Linked DNA regions of Mus musculus. The protein of the gene in region 1 interacts with the protein of each later gene in a pairwise test. Links are inferred from orthologs where the notes say so. Each region holds a gene or a part of one and is shown on either strand. Other genes may lie near its edges. The genes, in order: Bach2, Mafg and Batf3.

Region 1 (5,608 bases):
TAGTTGTACAGTTTCAGCATCCGAGGAGCTCCTGCTAATGTCCCTGTTCCTAGTGGCAGCTCTGTGTGATTTTTTTTTTATTCCCTCTCCGTCCCCCAAGCAATTAGGAGAAACAAAGTCTGCTCTCTGAGGATCACTTCCTCACCTCTTCATTTGTATAAACTATGAGCTTGGTGACCTCACCGAATTAACGATATACCTGATTGCAACAAAGGACAAACCTTTATAAGCCACTCTACCCTCTTAGGCTCCTAATTCAGGACAAGGTTCCCTGAATTATTATGAAGTCACAGTGAACAAATAATCTTCTTGATACATCTTTGTTCTTTTGGGTTTTTTGGGTTTTTTTTTTTTTTTTTTTTTTTTTTTTTGGTCATTGTGATGGGACAACCCAGACTTTTATGTAAGATTGCTGGAAGAGATGAATTTTAGTTCACTCTCAAAATAAAATCAAAAGTGCTCACACCCTGTCTCCTCATATCTTAGCTATGTTATTGTGTGTGCTGGACTCAGAAGTTGAGTTTATAGATAAGAATAGAGTTGTTCCGTTCCAGGAACACTGGGAGCAGGAGAGATGGTCCTCCCCAGGGAGGAGCACAAGTCCCAAACAGACATCCCTGAAAGCATACATACAGGTACCATTAGACGGACAGAATGGGTTATATTTAGGGATGTGTATGTATGTGTGTATGTATATACATACACATGTACACATGGAATAGCATTTAGTGAAAAAAGAGACCATGAATTTGAGGATTTTGGAGGGGTATGCGGAAGGCTTTGGAGGAAGGAAAAAGAAGGAAGAAATGTAGTTATAATATCCAAAAATCTTTAAATAATTTTTTAGAGAACAAAAGAAGAACCGTGGTTCTGCATCCAAAGTACCCAGGTTCAGTTCCCAGCACCTACTTGGAGGCTCCCAACTGTCTATAACTCCAGTCTCAGGGGATCTGACACCATCTTTTGGCTTACGCAGGCACTATATACAGGAGGGCTGCATGCACATGGTGCATTGTTATACATTCAAGCAAACACTCATACACATAAAGTAAAAATATATAAAATCTCAAAAAAAAAACCCTAAAGAAAAACTTGTGAGGACATGCTTGAAGCTCACATCACCAACGTGGTCGCTTGTTAGCTTTCTAGAGACCCAAGAAATGGTCAGAAACTCAGGCAGCCTGACACTCAGGTGACCCTCCGTGTGTCGCTTGCAGTGACAATGAAGGAAAACAACTGATAAGTCCTCATTTGAGAAAAACAATTGAAGTGTTTCTATGAAATATTATAATACTACAGGGATTCAAAAGTGTGTTTTCATTAACTGTAGCAACATTGCGACATGTTCTCTCTTATGTAACTCATATTTAATTTCATATTTAATAATTAAATAAAAACCCTCTATGTTTGTGTACCAAAAGAATACTGGTCCACAATCCAATTTTAAATCCAACACCTTTCAGGGTGTGGAGTGTGTGTGCGTGTGCGTGCATGTGCACATGTGTTCATGTGCATGCATGTACATGTGTGTATCCAACCCCAGAAGTTACACTGAATGGGCAGTGAGCTTCAACAACAAAATATCCTTAGTCATTTATTGGTCAAAGTTACCACTGTTCATTATTTTTTTTCCTTTACTCTTTACCTGTTTTTATGTGCTCTACAACAAACATTAACTCATTATCAGAGAAGAGGAAATAAATATGTCTAATCTTATGAATGAAAATTTTATCTGAGGACTTAAGGTTAGGTTAAAGCCAACAAGAAGCTTGTCTGACTTGAAAATAAACACTTTGGAGGCATAGATGTCAGCCAGAATTCACAAGTTAATCTAGAACCTCTTTTAGTTAAGACCACCACTTCGGCCTCCATACTGGGGCGTTTGAATTTGATGAAGAACGCCTTCTGAGATGCAGCCGGAGAGATCGGGGTGACTGGATCATAGCCACATCCAAGCTGTGGGGGTTCAAGTGAACACCTGATAAGGGAAGCTTGTCTGCAGGGAACGCCTGCAGAGGAGGTCTTCTGCCCGAATAGAGCCTAGATATTGGTACCTAGGGGGGATTGTCTTACTCTGGCCTTGTAGTTCGTTGAAGAGAAACACTAGAACCACTGTGGAGTACTGTGTTGTTCTCAAAGTTGAGTAGAGTTTGTGAGGCAGCAGGCAGGAGATTCACGGTGTGCAACACTCATCCACTAACGAACGGGCTTTCCCTTCCGGTCTAGGTGGACACTCACTGATCTATCACAAGATTGCCTCACTGAGTTTGGGGGTCCATGTCTGAATGGATTGCTGTAGCCTTCTCATCTCTTCCTCTGCCCAGTTCCCAGCATCCTAAGACTCGAAGCCAGGACAGGACCTGGGGAAATTATATGTAAGTTTTTACTAAGATTTCTTTTCTTTAACCCAACAAGGCTCAGTGTGAGGCAGTCATGCCAATAATCCAAGCACACAAAAGTTAACTTTCTTTTAAGAAAGTGTCATGAGAAATGTAAATTAAGCAAGAAACAAGGGCTGGAATCCCACTGTTAGTACTTCCTTAGCTCAGTGGTTCTTATTGTCAGCTTGCATCAGAGTCACACTGGCTGTTTTGAGCCAAAAGATCTGGTGTCAGCCAGCAATCTGCTTTACTAACATTTTCCAAGTGATGCTGATGTCAGTGCCCCAAGGCCCTCACTTTGAGAATCACCACTTTAACATAACTGTGTTAGAGGAGTGAATGGCAAAGGCGGGAATCTATATGCTTTAATATTGAATACATTAAGAGGTAGAACCTGTACTTACCTCATTGACACATACCTCAGAAAACAGCTCTAGGGTCTGCACGGCGGCTTCAGCTCAGAAGTCCAGTGGTTACCACGCGCCAGCATTCCTCCTACACTGCTGGCCACTCTTTGCCTTGGACTTTAGGAGGTCAGAGTAACGGTGCAGCTGTTAGCTTGAGGGAGTGGCCACAGTCCCTTGACAAGTGTGCACACCATGTTTGATGTCAAAAGGAGAATCCGTGGCTCCTTTGCAAAGTGAATCTTCATAGTACCATCCCTCCCTGGTACACTGAAATGTAATTTCATTTACAAAAGACACATCAGGGGAGGTACACCTCCAGTAAACAGTCGCTGAGCAAGGCTCGGTTTTTATGGATTTCCAGAGCCTCAGTCCTGCCTTACTTTGAGGTCAGCTCATTACCATGTTAGCTTCCAAAAGTCTAACTACTTAACCTAAGACAGTTTACCCTGCACTGATTCAAACCCATGAAGAGTTTGGCTAAGTAAATCCTCACTTGGATAAGGTGAGCGGACATACAGATGTACATACATGCTTGTGAGCATGCTCTGTTTCCAAGCCAATGTAGACATTTAAAGTATTTTTCTTTCATTTCATTAAATAAATGCGAATATAAAATAGTAATGGTGATACTGTCCTGTCTAGGAAACATCCAAGAAATTGCTGGGCATTTTAAATTTGTGGTAAGGCACTACAGTTTATAACGTTTTTCTTGGATGTGGTGAATGTTGTCATGCAAAGTAGCACTTGGGATTTGCAATTCTTTTATTATCATCATCGTCGTTATTATTTTAATTGAGAATGGCCGCTGTCGATACAGTATTTGCCACCCAGCTATGTTATCCTAGATGAAATAGGCCAGACATACTTAGTGCTGTTGCTCATAGGAGGTACCTGGGGTTGTCAGACTCACACAGTCCATAGGGAGAATAGTGGCTGCCAGCAGGAGGGCAGAGGAGTGGGGTGTATTTTTCAATGGGTACAGTGTGTGAGCTGGAAAGGTTATATTTTGGTAGAAGGTGGTGATGTTGGTTACACAGCAATGTATATGTTCTAAAGTCTCTTATGTTACAGTCTAACATAATTTTTTTAAAGCATAATAGCAGAACTCAGTCTTCCTTTCAAGAATGCTGGTCCTTGGCAGCAAAGTCACAGTTTGAGAGGCTGCGGTGCCATCGTACACCGCACTCTCATTGTGCTACTTTTTGTTTTCAATATTTTTTTTTACTTATTTTACATCCTGATCACAGCCCCCCCTTCTCTTCTCCCAGTCCCACCCATACAAATCCGTCCCCCCATTTCCCCCTTCCCCTTATCCTCAGAGAAGGAGAGCTCCCTTGGGTGCCCTATCCTGGGACATCTATTCCCAGCAGGACAAGGCACATCCCCTCCTACCGAGGCCCAACCAGGCAGTTCAAGTAGAGGGAATGTCCCATGGCAGGGGACACAGACCGAGACAGCCCCCTCTCCACTTGTTAGAGGACCCATATGAAGATCAACTAGGTCCAGTCCCTGATGTTTGGCTATGGGTCTCTGCCTCTGCTTCTATCCGCTGCTGGGTAAAGCCTCTCAGGAGACAGTCATGCTAGGTGGCTGTCTGTAAGCCTAGCAGAGGATCATAGTCTCAGGGGCTGGCATGCCCACATGAGATGGCTCTCAGTCATTGGTTGGCTGTTCCCTCAGTCTCTGCCCCATCTTTATCCCTGCACATCTTATAGGCAAGACAGATTTTGAGTTGAAGGCTTTGTGGGTGACTTGATGTCCCCCTCCCACCTCTGGAAGTCCTGCCTGGCTATAGGAGGTGACCAGTTTAGTCTCTACATCCCCTGCTAGTAGGAATCTCAGCTAGGGTGAACCCATACACTCCCCATATCCTTTCCCACTCCAAGCTTCCAAAGAGTCCCAGAGATGCCCTCCCCCATGATTTCCATTCTCACTCCCAGCCCTCTACTGTCCTCCTCCCTTCCCACACCTGATCTCCATGCCATCTCCATTCTCTCTCTCACCCCATCTCCCACCCAGTTCCCTCTCTCCATCCACATTTGATAACTATTTAGTTTCCCCTTCTGAGTGAGATTGGTGCATCCTCCCTTGGGACCTCCCTATTACTGTGAGTTGTAGCATAGTTATCCTGTACTTTATAGCTAATATCCACTTATACGTGAGTGTATGCCGTAAGTGTTTTGTCATAAGTGGGTCAGGGCTACCTTACTCAAGATGATATTCTCAAGTTTCTTCCATTTGCCTGCACAACTCATGATGTCTTTGCTCTTAATAGCAGAATAGTATTCCATTGTGTGATGTGTAAGTTGTTTCCAGCTTCTGACTACTATGAATAAAGCTGCTAAGGACGTACTTGAACAAGTGTCTTTGTGGAATGGTGGAGCCCCTTTTGGGTATATACGTAGGAGTGGTATACCTAGATCTTATATAGAGCTATTCCCAGTTTTCTGAGAAACTGCCAAATTGATTTCCAAAGCGCTTGTAAAAGTTTGCACTCCCACCAGCAATGGAGGTGTGTTCTCCTTGTTCCACATCCTCACCAGCACATGCTGTGGCTTGGGGTTTTGATCTTGGCCATTCTGACGGGTGTAAGATGGAATCTCAGGGTCATTTCGATTTGCGTTTTCCTAATGACTAAGGAAGCTGAGCATTTCTTTAGGTGCTTCTCAGACATTAAAGATTCCTCTGTTGAAAATTCTCTGTCTAGCTCTGTACCCCATTTTTAATTGGGTTATTTGGTTTGTTGGTTTCTAATTTCTTGAGTTCTTTATGTACTTTGGATATTAACCCTCTGTCAGAATTAGAGTTGGTAAAGATTCT
Region 2 (5,804 bases), on another chromosome or scaffold:
TTAGCAGTATTCAGGAAGTGGCTCAGACGTCCTCCCTTGGACTACCACCAAGTGATGAAGATAGAGAACTCATGGATGCACTGGGCCTCTGACTTAATATCTCCTGGTGTATGTGTGTTGAGGGTTGGGCTATAGTCTGGTGATTGAGCATTTGCCTCACAGTGGGGGACGGGGGTGAGGGGGGCTGAGGGCTTGCCAATCACGATGCATGCCTGAAGTCCCAGTTAACTTTTTCCCCCCCCTTCTCTTTGTTTTCTTGAGATAGGGTTTCTCTGTGTAGCCCTTGCTGTTCTGGAACTGTATTTGTTTGTTTGTTTGGTTGGTTTTTCGAGACAGGGTTTCTCTGTATAGCCCTGGCTGTCCTGGAACTTACTCTGTAGACCAGGCTGGCCTTGAACTTCCAAGTGCTGGGATTAAAGGTGTGCGCCATCACCACCTGGCTAGAACTGTTTTTGTTTTTTTGTTTATTTTAAGATCTATTTACTATTATAAGTACACTGTAGCTGTCTTCAGACACACCAGAAGAGGGCATCAGATCTCATTACAGATGGTTGTGAGCCACCATGTGGTTGCTGGGATTTGAACTCAGGACCTTCGGAAGAGCAGTCAGTGCTCTTAACCACTGAGCCAGCCCCTAGAACTGGTTTTTATAGACCATGTTGGCCTTGAACTCAGAGACCTACCTGCCTCTGCCTCCTGAGGACTGGGGTTAAAGGCCTGTGCTAACATGTCCAGCAACTCCCAGCTACTCTTGGCTGCAAGGCTTTGCAGCTAATCTGAGCAACAGAAAAAAAGGAAAGAGAGAAAGAAAGAGAGAAAGAAAGAAAGAAAGAAAGAAAGAAAGAAAGAACAAAGCGGATGTGGGAGCTCATGGCTGTGGTCCCAGCATTTGGGAGGCTGAAGCAGGAGGGTTGCTGCTGACCAACAGAGCCTATAGACTAAGACCCTATCTCATAACTAGAACAAGAACAAAGGGAGGGAGGATGAAGATAAGTAACAGAAACCCAGAGGTCTTGTCTCAGGGGTTTTATTGCCATGAAGAGACTCCATTCGGCAGCTCTTCTAAAGGAAAACATCTCATTGGGTCTGGCTTACGCTTTCAGAGGTTTAATCCATTATTGTCATGGAGAGTAGCAAGACTGAATCAGGGCCGACTTGCTGCTGGAGGATGGGCTTAGTTAGAGTTCTGCATTCTGAAGGCTGCAAGAAACTGTAAGTCACACACGGGCATAGCTTGAGTATATAAGACCTCAAAGCCTGTCCCCACAGAGACAATCGTCTTCCAACAAGACCACACCTCCTAATAGTGCCATTCCCTATGGGCCAAGCATTTAGACACGGCATTTAGAATTCATGCAGGCCATTTCTATTCAAACCACCACAAGGCATAAGGAGTAATTCTCTGTATTCTGAGACTCTGGCTACAGCCAGTGAAAGATAAAAGCTCCCCCCCCCCCACTCCCCAAAGAAATACAATGTAAAGAATTACTTTTTGAGGCTGGGTGTGGTGGCACATGTTTTTAATCCCAGCACTAGAGAGGCAGAGGCAGTCGGATCTCTGAGAGTTTGGGGCCAGCCTGGTCTAAACCTTGTCTCAAGAAACCAAATTTGACACAAAGGACACACACAGGCCCCCTCCAGCCTGCTTACCCCCTTTTCCTTGTCACCTATGTTACAGAACGAGTCACCTTTTCACGATTCCCAGAGAAGACAGGGTCAAATAGAACGTTCAGAACCTCGAAATGAAAACTTGATCCCTCCTACTTTCCTTCTTTTTTACTTTTTCAACAGCAGCGAGAAGTCTCACAGAAAAAGTAGCAGCAGAATGCACCCAAAGTAGTTTCAAATGCGGCAGAGAAGGGTTGGGCAAAGTGCACAACTCCTACAGTGCACGCACACTACCCGAAGAGATGGTCCACGGCCGCAGGTGAAGCCCCTAGCACCCTCCGGAGATTAGAATCATTAGTGAGCGTCCTCCAAGCCTTCGTGTCATCGTGGATAGTTTGGGGATCTGAGCTGGGGTTGGGGCTGTGCCCCTCAACAGCCGTGTCCTTTTCAGACTGCTGACCCATTTAGAATGAGGACGTCGCAGCAGAACGGGGTAAGGAACTAAATCACTGTGTCACACCTTCAAAACAGCAAATAGGTTCCCGCGTGGTGACGCTCATCTGTGAGTTCCGCTTTCAGGGGGCCGAGGCAGGAGCATCTCAGGGAATTGAAATCCAGTCTGCTCGCTGTACAGTGAAACTATGCATCCAAGTGAAGAAAATCAAACAAACCTCCCATAGACCTCGGTCTGAGTTGGTGTGGAGATCGGGAGGGAGCTAGAGGCATCCGAGTTGGGGCCACTCCGTAGAACCTGTCTCTGCAGGAGCACGGTCAACCCGGCGAGCGCCGGGACGACTCCCGCGAGACATTGCCAGGGCGCGGCGGGCGTTGCCAAGGGCAACGGCGCGGGGCTGCGCAGGCGTGATGGGGGCGCGCTCGCCTTGCTGCCGCCTCGCCTTTCCCTTTAAGCTTAGGCCAGCCGCGTCGCCGCTTCATGAATGGAACCCACGTGACCAAACATCATGTGACGTCTGAGGAGCGGCGGCGGCGGCGGATTCTGAGCCCGGTCCGGCCCGGCCTTCCCAGCGCGCTTGGCCCGGCCCGCGCAGGCGGCCAGTCCTCCTAAGCCCCCGGCCCGGACCCTTCGCGCCCGCCCCAGCCCCGCGCAGCCCCGGAGCGCGCGCGCGCGGCCCCGCCCCAGCCCCGCCTTGGCCCGCCCGGGCCCGCAGTGTGGTGAGTGCGCGGGGCTGGGGCGGGCGGCGGGGCCTGGCCTCGGGGTTGCGGCGCACCCGACGGCAGCGCGTGCCTTGGTTTCCCCGCCAGCCGGCTGTTCGCCTGTGTCCCCCTAGAGCCGGCGGACCGGGCGACCGCGAGGCTGGGGACGGGCGTGCGCGCGGCGGCGGACCCCGGGTGCCCTGCGGGGGGCGCGATTTAAGGGCGAGCTGCGCGCGTCTGCCCGGGTCAGCGGGGTGGCCGCACCGAGCTGCTGACTCATCAGGTGTCCGTCGGCTTCCGCGCGGGCGGGGTCGCGCGCGGGCCCACAGGGGAGGCGGCGGGGAGACCCTGCTGCGCGGCTTGGGCTCGCCACGCGGGTGCGAGCCCAGCGGAGACGTGCTGAGTCATCAGCATGAGGTCACTCGGTGCTCCTGCTGACGCTGGGCCAGGGCGGGGGGCCGGGGCCCGCTATCGGCCGGTCTAGTCGGGAGACAGGGCTCGATCCGGGTGGTGAAGGTCGGGCCGGGATCCGGGGTCGTGTTTAAGTTTGACAGACCTGTGAGTTGGAGGCAAAGGCTCCGAAGGAGGCATTGCAGGGGCGCGCCGCAGGTTTCTCCCGGGGTGGAAGGTAAAGCCCCGGGCGTGCGCATCCTTGCCTGGTTCTTGGGCTCCTGGCCCGGGTCCCACAACTGGGGCAGTTCCCCAAACCCGGAGACCGATCGGTGTACGCTGAGGGGAGGAGCTTAGGTGGGCCGAGCCAGCTCGTCTGGGAAGCAAGCTTTCCTTCTCTGTGACCCTGAATGGCCAGGCTTCGTCGGTCCTAGATGGGGAAGACCGGGAGGCAGGGGGAGAAGGGTCTGTGGCTTGAAAGAAGCTGGGGCAGCTCTAACCAGCTAAGGAGAGCAGAGTGTGGATCTAGGCAGCTGGTGAGAGTTTTTGAGGTGCAACCATGGAGTAGAAGATGTAGTTTTATTTATCCCAATGTTATTCCTTTCAGAAGAGTTTGGGGTCCCACTGTTGCCTGGAGTTACCAAAAAGTGTGTGTGCCCTGTTGGGTGTCTGGAGACTCTTGGGAGGTGACAGTTTTGTGGGGTGTGGCTGAATGGCTGTTTACTGACTTATCTGTCGTGAAGGTTCTTGAACTCCATCCTACTGCTTTCCTTGCCCAGGGATTCATGTCTAGACTGTGCTTACCTTGTGGTTTGTGCTAAGGGATGTCCCCTTAACCCTGAGCCCTGAGGCTGCTCATAGGTGCAGTGTTTTTTTCATTTGGTGTGGAACTTGCCCTATGAAACTTCAAGGTTCCAGAAAATTGTTAAACTCCGGAGGCACTGTGCTTCAGTGAACTTAATGTTTTCCGTTCTCTTCAAACAATGTCAGTACCTGAAGGAGAGAAGACCTACGTAGGGGGTCTCCTGCATTGAGGTTTACAGGCAAGGTTTAGCAAGGAAGGGTCACTATCTTGCTTGAGACTAATGTCCAGATTGTCTAGTGTGAGAGGACAGAGGTGCCCAAACCCCTTCTTTAAGGGTCAGCCTGAATGAGTGGTCCAGAGCCCCTTGGTGTCTTGAGTCTGTCCATAACTGTGAGTACTTGGAGGGCTGAGTTGGAGGCAGCAGGTCCAGATCAGCTTCTCTGAGCTTCTTCCTCAGGCTCTGGAAAGCTCTCTAAACTGTATCCCTCAGCACAGCTGTCCCCCCCAGAACTGTCTGCCTAGTCACTGTGTCCCTAGGTTTGCAGAAGCCAGGCAGGTAGCTGGAAGAATTGGCTTTCCTGAGACCTGCCCTTCCCCCTTAAGCACACATGCGTATAAACATGTACACACACTCGCTCTAACACACACACATTCTCTCTCTCTCTCTCTCTCTCTCTCTCTCTCTCTCTCTCTCTCTCTCTCTCTCTCTCTCTCTCTCTCTCTCTCTCGTGCACCTTTGATCAGGAGGCAGTTGGCTGCACTTGTGCTGAGTTCAGGCCTTTGGTGGAGGTAAAATCTGTTGAGAAGGCACTTTTCAGCTCCCAGCCGCCACACTCTGCACTTTCCTGTGCGATCTCAGGAAGTCACCGTTTTGAGCTCAGCAGTCTGTATAAGGGAAGCTCCTGCCAGGACTGTCCCCTCACCTCGACTTATGCTCCTAGTGTGAGTATAGGGCCAACTTGTAAGAAAGACAGATGCCCTTCAGACCTCTAGATCTGAGTTCTGCCTTTCTCTTTGATCTAGCAGTACTGTTGCCTCTGAAAATGCTCCTAATCTAGTCCTGTAGATTTAGTCCTGGTTTGCTTGCTCAGTGTTTGCATGTAGCCACACCTCCTGTTCAAAGCTAAAAGCAGTAGGGTAAAGCTAATGAGAATGTGTTAGTTCCTTTGATAAGATGAACCAACTCCCCATCCAGCACATTTTTGCCTGAAGTGCTCACAGACCTGCAGCAACCTCACTTCCCTCATTTCCCTGCACCTAACCTGGAAAGGAGAGGATGTGCCTGTGGGACTGGTGGGTGTTGGGCTAAGTGGGGATTCCCAGCCTAGGTACACAAGAATGTCCTTGGCAAGGCTTTAGAAAGCTGAAAATGAGGTTGAGCCCGGAGGGGCGGCTGACTGTAGGAGGGACCTGTTTTGCTTTTGTTCCCTGGCCCTGTGGTCACTGACCCTAGGCAGAGAGCCAAAGACCAGTCAGTGACCTGAAGGGGCTGGCTCTTGCCTGCTTCCAGCTAACAGTGCTCTTCCTCTGCTAATTGTGGGAGCCCTTGTGAAACACCCTGTGTCGGGTGGGGCAAGAGTACAGGATGCTGCAACCAAGCCACAGGATGGTTACCCCATCTGTAAAGGAGATGGACGGGGAGGACTGGAGGGGCCTGGGCTCAGCTCCTCCCAGCCGGATTGCCTGCTACCTGGAAGGTGAGAGGATTCCCAGTCAGCCAGTTAGAACAAACCTTATCCTCTGCCAGACTGAGGCAGGAAGCAACCTCCTACCTAAGTCCTAGAGGGAGAAAGGGCTTTCTTTTGTCCTGGGCCAGCTTAGGGAACATATATGGGAAGTAGGACCT
Region 3 (5,641 bases), on another chromosome or scaffold:
GCTGAACACAGAGAAGCCCTGCCTTGAAAAACTCAAGGTGTGTATGAGTGTGTAGGGAAGGGGGATATGGGGGGGGGCGGTAGAAAGAAAGGAAAAGAAAAAAGAAACAATGCCATAAGTAGACTAAGCCAATATAAGTCTGCTGTTGGCCCTGGCCCCAGGCTGTGGGGAGGACCCCAGAGGACTTGGAACAGGAAAGGAGCCCACTAGAATGACACACGGGAGTGCACTGGTATGTCGAGGATCACCCCCTCCAACACCCATTCTTAAACGTCTAAAAGTTAGGATCACTTGCCCCCACAAATTGCTTATTTTGTTAGTCTTTGGTTGTATTGAGATCTCATCCTGCTATTTAGCTCTAGTTAGCCTGGAGGTTAATGTATAGCCCAAGCTAGATAGTGGAACTTGTGGAAACCCTGCCTCAACCTTGTGAGTGGAGAAATTGTAGGCGTTGGCCACCACACCCCGTTTACAGGGTCCTTTAATTTTCAAGGACAGAGGTCCTGGGCTGACCCACACCAAGTGCAGGATGCTGTGCTGTGCACTCCTCTATACTGTGTGAGATGTAATTGTCTCTCTCTCTCTTCTCTCCCCTCCTTCTCCCCTCCCCCCACACCGGAGCATGCATGCATGTTGATAGAAGAGGGTCAGAACTAAAATTTGGGCGGAACCATTAGCATGGAGAGGCTCTGCTGTGATGTGTGGACACTGGCTATGCCGTGACCTACTAGCACACATGACCACTACTGGTGCCTAAAGCCGCGCAGGCAGGTTCAAACAAGCTCCTCTCTCCAGACTTACGGCTTAAATTCTGGCACAGAGCCATGCACACTGGGGTGAGGACTCAGAAAGGTCACCTCTCCCACTGCCCAGAAGCCAGTAGGCCAAAATGAGCACACGAGAAAGGCCACTCTTGTCTGGTTCCCATCCGTCCCCCAGTTCGTGGTTAGCTTTCCTCTCCTATGCTATGCACAAACCACAAACCTGCAACCGCTAGGGTTTTTTCTTTTTTTCTTTGCTGGGCACAGTCATCTTGACTTCATATTTTAAAAACTGGCAGGCGGGTGAAGAGGGATGAGATACGTCTCTACCTAGTCTGACATAAACATAGCAACCATATATTTTAGCCTTTAGTAGGTATCACCTTAATCTTGAAGAAGCAAATGCAGCTAGCCCATGGGACCTTAGCATGGCCTGCCCAGACCTTTGAATGTGTGAGGATGGACTTCAAGCGTGGTTTCGACTCACAACCTCTCTTTGCCGCTCCCCCCGCCCCGCCCCCCCCCATCAGAATTCGCCCTCCCAGTCACCTCGCCCCCTCCCTCCCACTGGACCAGACGCCGCCGCAGTGGAAAAGCCCTGAGGCTCCCGCTGTCCCCATAGCGCGGACGGTCTCTGCTGCGGTCCCTGCCCACTGGCGCCACCGGTCCAGGTGCCGCCTCGCCCGGAAGAAATCTCCCCATCGGCGGTGACCGGCGCTGGGGCGCTAAGGGAGGCTGCGAAGGGACATTGAAGCCACCGAGCCACTCACTGGTGCTTCTCACCCAAACTTCCCAGGAGCGGCCGGAGGACCGTCCACGGCGGCGCTGCGCCAGCACCCCGTCTCCACCCACTCGGGGTCTTCTCCGTGGGTGGGCTTCGGTGCTGCCACGTGACTTCCACGAAGAGCGGGGGCCCTTAGCGGAAAGCAGCGACTTGGGTGGGATCCTGGACCCCGAGGTGCGGCGAGAGGGTGGGGGGAGGAGGAAGCAGGGGCGGGGTGGGAGTAGGGGGCGGGGCCGGGCCGGGCCGGGACTGGACACGGGGTGGGGAGGCGGGCACCGTGGAGCCCGGAGAGCGGGAAGCGGCGGGGCGGGGCGGGGCAGCAAGTGCGGGGATGCGGGCGGAGCGCGGGTAGCAGAGCCCCACGTTCAGGGCGCCCCGTGTGGCGAGCGCGCGGCATGTCGCAAGGGCCCCCCGCGGTCAGCGTGCTGCAGAGAAGCGTGGATGCGCCCGGGAACCAGCCGCAGGTATTGGACAAGGGGGCCGGGTGTGAGGACCGGGTGAGGGTGAGGGCAGAGCTCCAGGTGCGCCCCCGCCGTGCGCCCCCGCCGTGCGCCTCAAGCGCTTGGGAAGGCGGCAGCCCCTCCAGACTCGGCGCCGAACACGTGGGTCCGCGCTGCTGTGGGCAGTTTCATCCTTGACTCCTGTGGGCGCTGGTGGGAGGGGGCCCGGAGCTCCGATATTATGAATTCAGCCCAAAGGGGCGGTTCGTCCCTGCATCCAACCCACTGGCCAAGATCCGCATGGGGAATGTCGGACCGGTCAATTTGTGGGTGTGGGGTTTTGTCTCTAATGGGCAGACTCCACCCCCAGCACGGGTGGAAACTTCTCGCCCCAATATGATCAGCACCCTCTGTTGTCCCAGCTTTCAAAGCTGTAGTCACAAGAAGCTGAGACCAAATAGAGGCCACTGTTGGAACACTTCTTGGCCACCTGGTTGCTTTATCAATAGATCAGGTCTTATTTTTCTTAGTCACCACACACACTCCCAACTCTCTGCTTGAAGTGTAATGTCCCAGGATGACCCTGGAAGTCTGAGCCAAGTAGTTGGAGTGGCCTTATACTATTTGCTTCGACTAGCGGAGCCTCAATTTCCCCATCTATAAGATGAACTCTTTTTGTATCTCCTGAGGACGTTTGCAGAGGTCATGTGAGTGATGGGTGATTTGTGTCTCCATTCGTCATTCCTGCCCAGAGGGAAGGTGTGATCATCTGTGGCAGGTGATGTGACAGCTCCCAGAGGACAGGAGGCATGCTGCCCCTTGCCCTGAGACTTGTTGGCTTTGGAGAATAGAGACATTATTTCCTGTCAAGCACCAGTGGAGAGCCAGTGAGGTCAAATCTCAGGTCAGCTTGATTCTGGGCAGCAGAGCCCAGCAGTGTTCTGAGTACAGGGCAGGGTCTTAGTTATTATATACGGTGGAAGGCTTTGTGAGGGTGTAAAAGCTGAAGTTACATCGTTTATATGGCATGTCCCCCTGGATGCTCCAGGTGTGTTTATCAAGACCTTTGGGGTGTAGTGATGCAGGAGTACAATTCCAGAGCTAGGGAGGAAAGGGAAGGGAGACTACGTGAAACTGTTGAAGAAGGGGGTGGGGGGAGGACTTCTGGAAGGCACGTTTTGACACCTGTGTTCTCCTGAGCAGGTGTTGGGTCTGCTGTCTCTTCTTATCTATGCCTGGGATTCCTGGCTGAAGCCCTGAGTTTGTACGCCAGCCTCTGGGTTTTGCTGTTGCTGTGGCTCCAGATTACACCCTGAGCCTCACCTACCACTAAGCTCCCTCCCCATCTAGACACCTTTTGAACTCAGTCTTGAAGGACATTTTTTTTCCTCCCCTGATGGTGTCAATTGCAGTTCTGGAAAGCAGACCCTTTCCTCTAAGTAAGCTCTCGCTGTGGTACGTGCATTTTTTTCTGCCTGCCCACTTCATGTCACCTCATGAAGGATTTTTGGATATTTGGTTAAGAACTCTCAAAACGCATCACAGATTTGCATTTGGAATAACCCTGACCTCTGAAAAGAAAATGTCAGCCAAGTGTTGTTCAAGAGAGCATGTCGTCATTAGTGTTCCAGAGTTTTCCACATACTGGTAGAGCTGTGTGGTTGCAGTTACTAATAAATGCATAACTATGGTCTGTATACAGTTTCAGAAGGACTTGCCAGTGTGTGGTAGTTTAAAGGCTGTGCACAGCAAGTTCTAGCGAGCACACACCCCAGTCTTTCTCACTCTCAGATGAGCAGTAACAGCACCGCTCTTCCAGGCAAACGCCCTGTGGGGCAGAAGTTTGTGAACGTTGGTTTGGGGACCAGCAAACCTGAGTTCCACTTCCCACTCACCCCCATGCTGGCCGTGGTACCTGGAGAACTTCCCTAACCTGAGTTTCTGATTCCTCGTTGTCTCATAGTATTTTTATTTTTTGTGGTCCTGGGTATGGAACACAGGGCCTGACATATCCCACACATATGGCACCACTAAGCTGCACCCCAGACCTTATATTCCTCATTTTAAAACAACAGTCTTTCTATACGCTTTTCAGTATGTGGGTGGTGATTAATATAAAGCAAAGCCCCACCACAGGATAGGTGTTCCTTAACAAAACCTCTCAGTAGCCCACTGGAGCATGGTGAGAGTCTGAGAGTCTTACCTCACCACATGTCATCCCCAGAGCCCCAAGGACGATGACAGGAAAGTTCGAAGGAGAGAGAAAAACCGGGTTGCAGCTCAGAGGAGCCGGAAGAAGCAGACCCAGAAGGCTGACAAGCTCCACGAGGTGAGCCTGTGGTCAGGTCAGGACTACAGGACAGCCACAGGGACAGCTGTCTCCTATCGGGGGAGGGGGCAGTGATGGCATCACGGTGCTCATCATCAGTCCTTCCAGTCTGATTCTTCTGGGTCCTCCCAGCCTATTGCTTTGCTTCTGTATTCTCGGGCCTCTTCCTCTCAGCCCCAGCCCCCGGGCTTCTTCCCACGCTTGATTTTTCTCTCACTATAGACTCAAACAAAAGCTAGATGTGGGGGCTCTCACACTATAGCACTCAGGAAGGTGGAGGCAGGAGAATACCCAGCCTGAGGCTAGTTGGAACTACAGAGAAACTGTCTATAGAAACAATAGTGACAACAGTAATAGTAATTAAAGTTCTGGAGGAGCAGCTCAGTGGAGTGCTTGTCTAATGTGCACAAGAATACCCTGGGTGGGAGTCTCAGCACCACATAAACCAGCCGTGGTGGAAGGAACACGCCTTCGAGATCAGCACTCGGGGGAGAGGCAGAGAATCACAAGTTCAAGGTCAAGTTTGTATTTATAGTGACTTTCAGGCTAGCCTTGGCTATATGAGGTATCGTCTCAAAAAAAAAAAAAAAAAGGAAGGAAGGAAGGAAGAGAGAGAGAGAGAGAGAGAGAGAGAGAGAAATTACTGAGAATTATGGCACTTGCCTTTAATCCCAGCACTCTGGAGGCAGAGGCAGGCAAATCTCTGAGTTTAAGGCTAGCCTGGTCTACATAGTGAGTTCCAGGACAGCCAGAGGGCTCCATAGTGAAACTCTATCTTTAAAAAAAGAGAAAGTAAATAAAAGAATGTGGGTGAGGTGGTACTTGTGAGGGTCAGGAGTTTAAACCATTTTTGGCTATATAGTAAGTTTAAGGCCAGCCTGGGCTACATGAGACCCTCTCCCTACCAAAACTAAAAATTGAAGAAGCTAAACAAAAATAGCTCTTTATACTTTTAATTCCTTTTCAAAATCTTGCCTCCTCCTCAGGGGGTGGTTTGAGAGAGAATGGCCCCTCTGGGCTCATACACAGAGTGCTCAGTGTGGAACTGTTTGGGAAGGATGAGAAGGTGTAGCTGCTTTGGAGGAGGTGTGGCATTGGCACTGGCTTTGAGGTTTCCAAAGCCCATGGAATTCCCACTTAGCTCTCTCACTATCTACCGCGTGCCTGTGGATCAGATGTAAAAATCTCAGGTGCGGTTCTGGTACCACGCCTGCCTGCTTCCAAGCCTTTCTACCTCTGGCTTTGTCTTATTTGTTTTTTGAGACCGTGTCACTATGTAACCCAGCCTGGCCTCCTGCTCAATCCTGCCTCTCAGCCTGCTGAGTGC

The links.
Region 2: the proteins of Bach2 (region 1) and Mafg interact in binary tests that used the Homo sapiens proteins (3 or more experiments, as listed by UniProt). The link is inferred for Mus musculus from reciprocal best matches to the Homo sapiens genes BACH2 and MAFG.
Region 3: the proteins of Bach2 (region 1) and Batf3 interact in binary tests that used the Homo sapiens proteins (3 or more experiments, as listed by UniProt). The link is inferred for Mus musculus from reciprocal best matches to the Homo sapiens genes BACH2 and BATF3.

The regions. Positions count from the first base shown.
Region 1 is NC_000070.6:32,415,209-32,420,816, forward strand, and holds the start of Bach2 (transcription regulator protein BACH2), read left to right. Parts: upstream 1-2,226; 5' UTR 2,227-2,375; intron 2,376-2,399; exon of another isoform or gene 2,400-5,608. UniProt on the Homo sapiens protein: Transcriptional regulator that acts as a repressor or activator. Binds to Maf recognition elements (MARE). Plays an important role in coordinating transcription activation and repression by MAFK.
Region 2 is NC_000077.6:120,630,339-120,636,142, reverse strand, and holds the start of Mafg (transcription factor MafG), read left to right. Parts: upstream 1-2,595; 5' UTR 2,596-2,781; exon of another isoform or gene 2,782-5,543; coding exon of another isoform or gene 5,544-5,655; intron 5,656-5,804. UniProt on the Homo sapiens protein: Since they lack a putative transactivation domain, the small Mafs behave as transcriptional repressors when they dimerize among themselves.
Region 3 is NC_000067.6:191,096,519-191,102,159, forward strand, and holds the start of Batf3 (basic leucine zipper transcriptional factor ATF-like 3), read left to right. Parts: upstream 1-1,895; 5' UTR 1,896-1,940; coding exon 1,941-2,009; intron 2,010-4,209; coding exon 4,210-4,314; intron 4,315-5,641. UniProt on the Homo sapiens protein: AP-1 family transcription factor that controls the differentiation of CD8(+) thymic conventional dendritic cells in the immune system.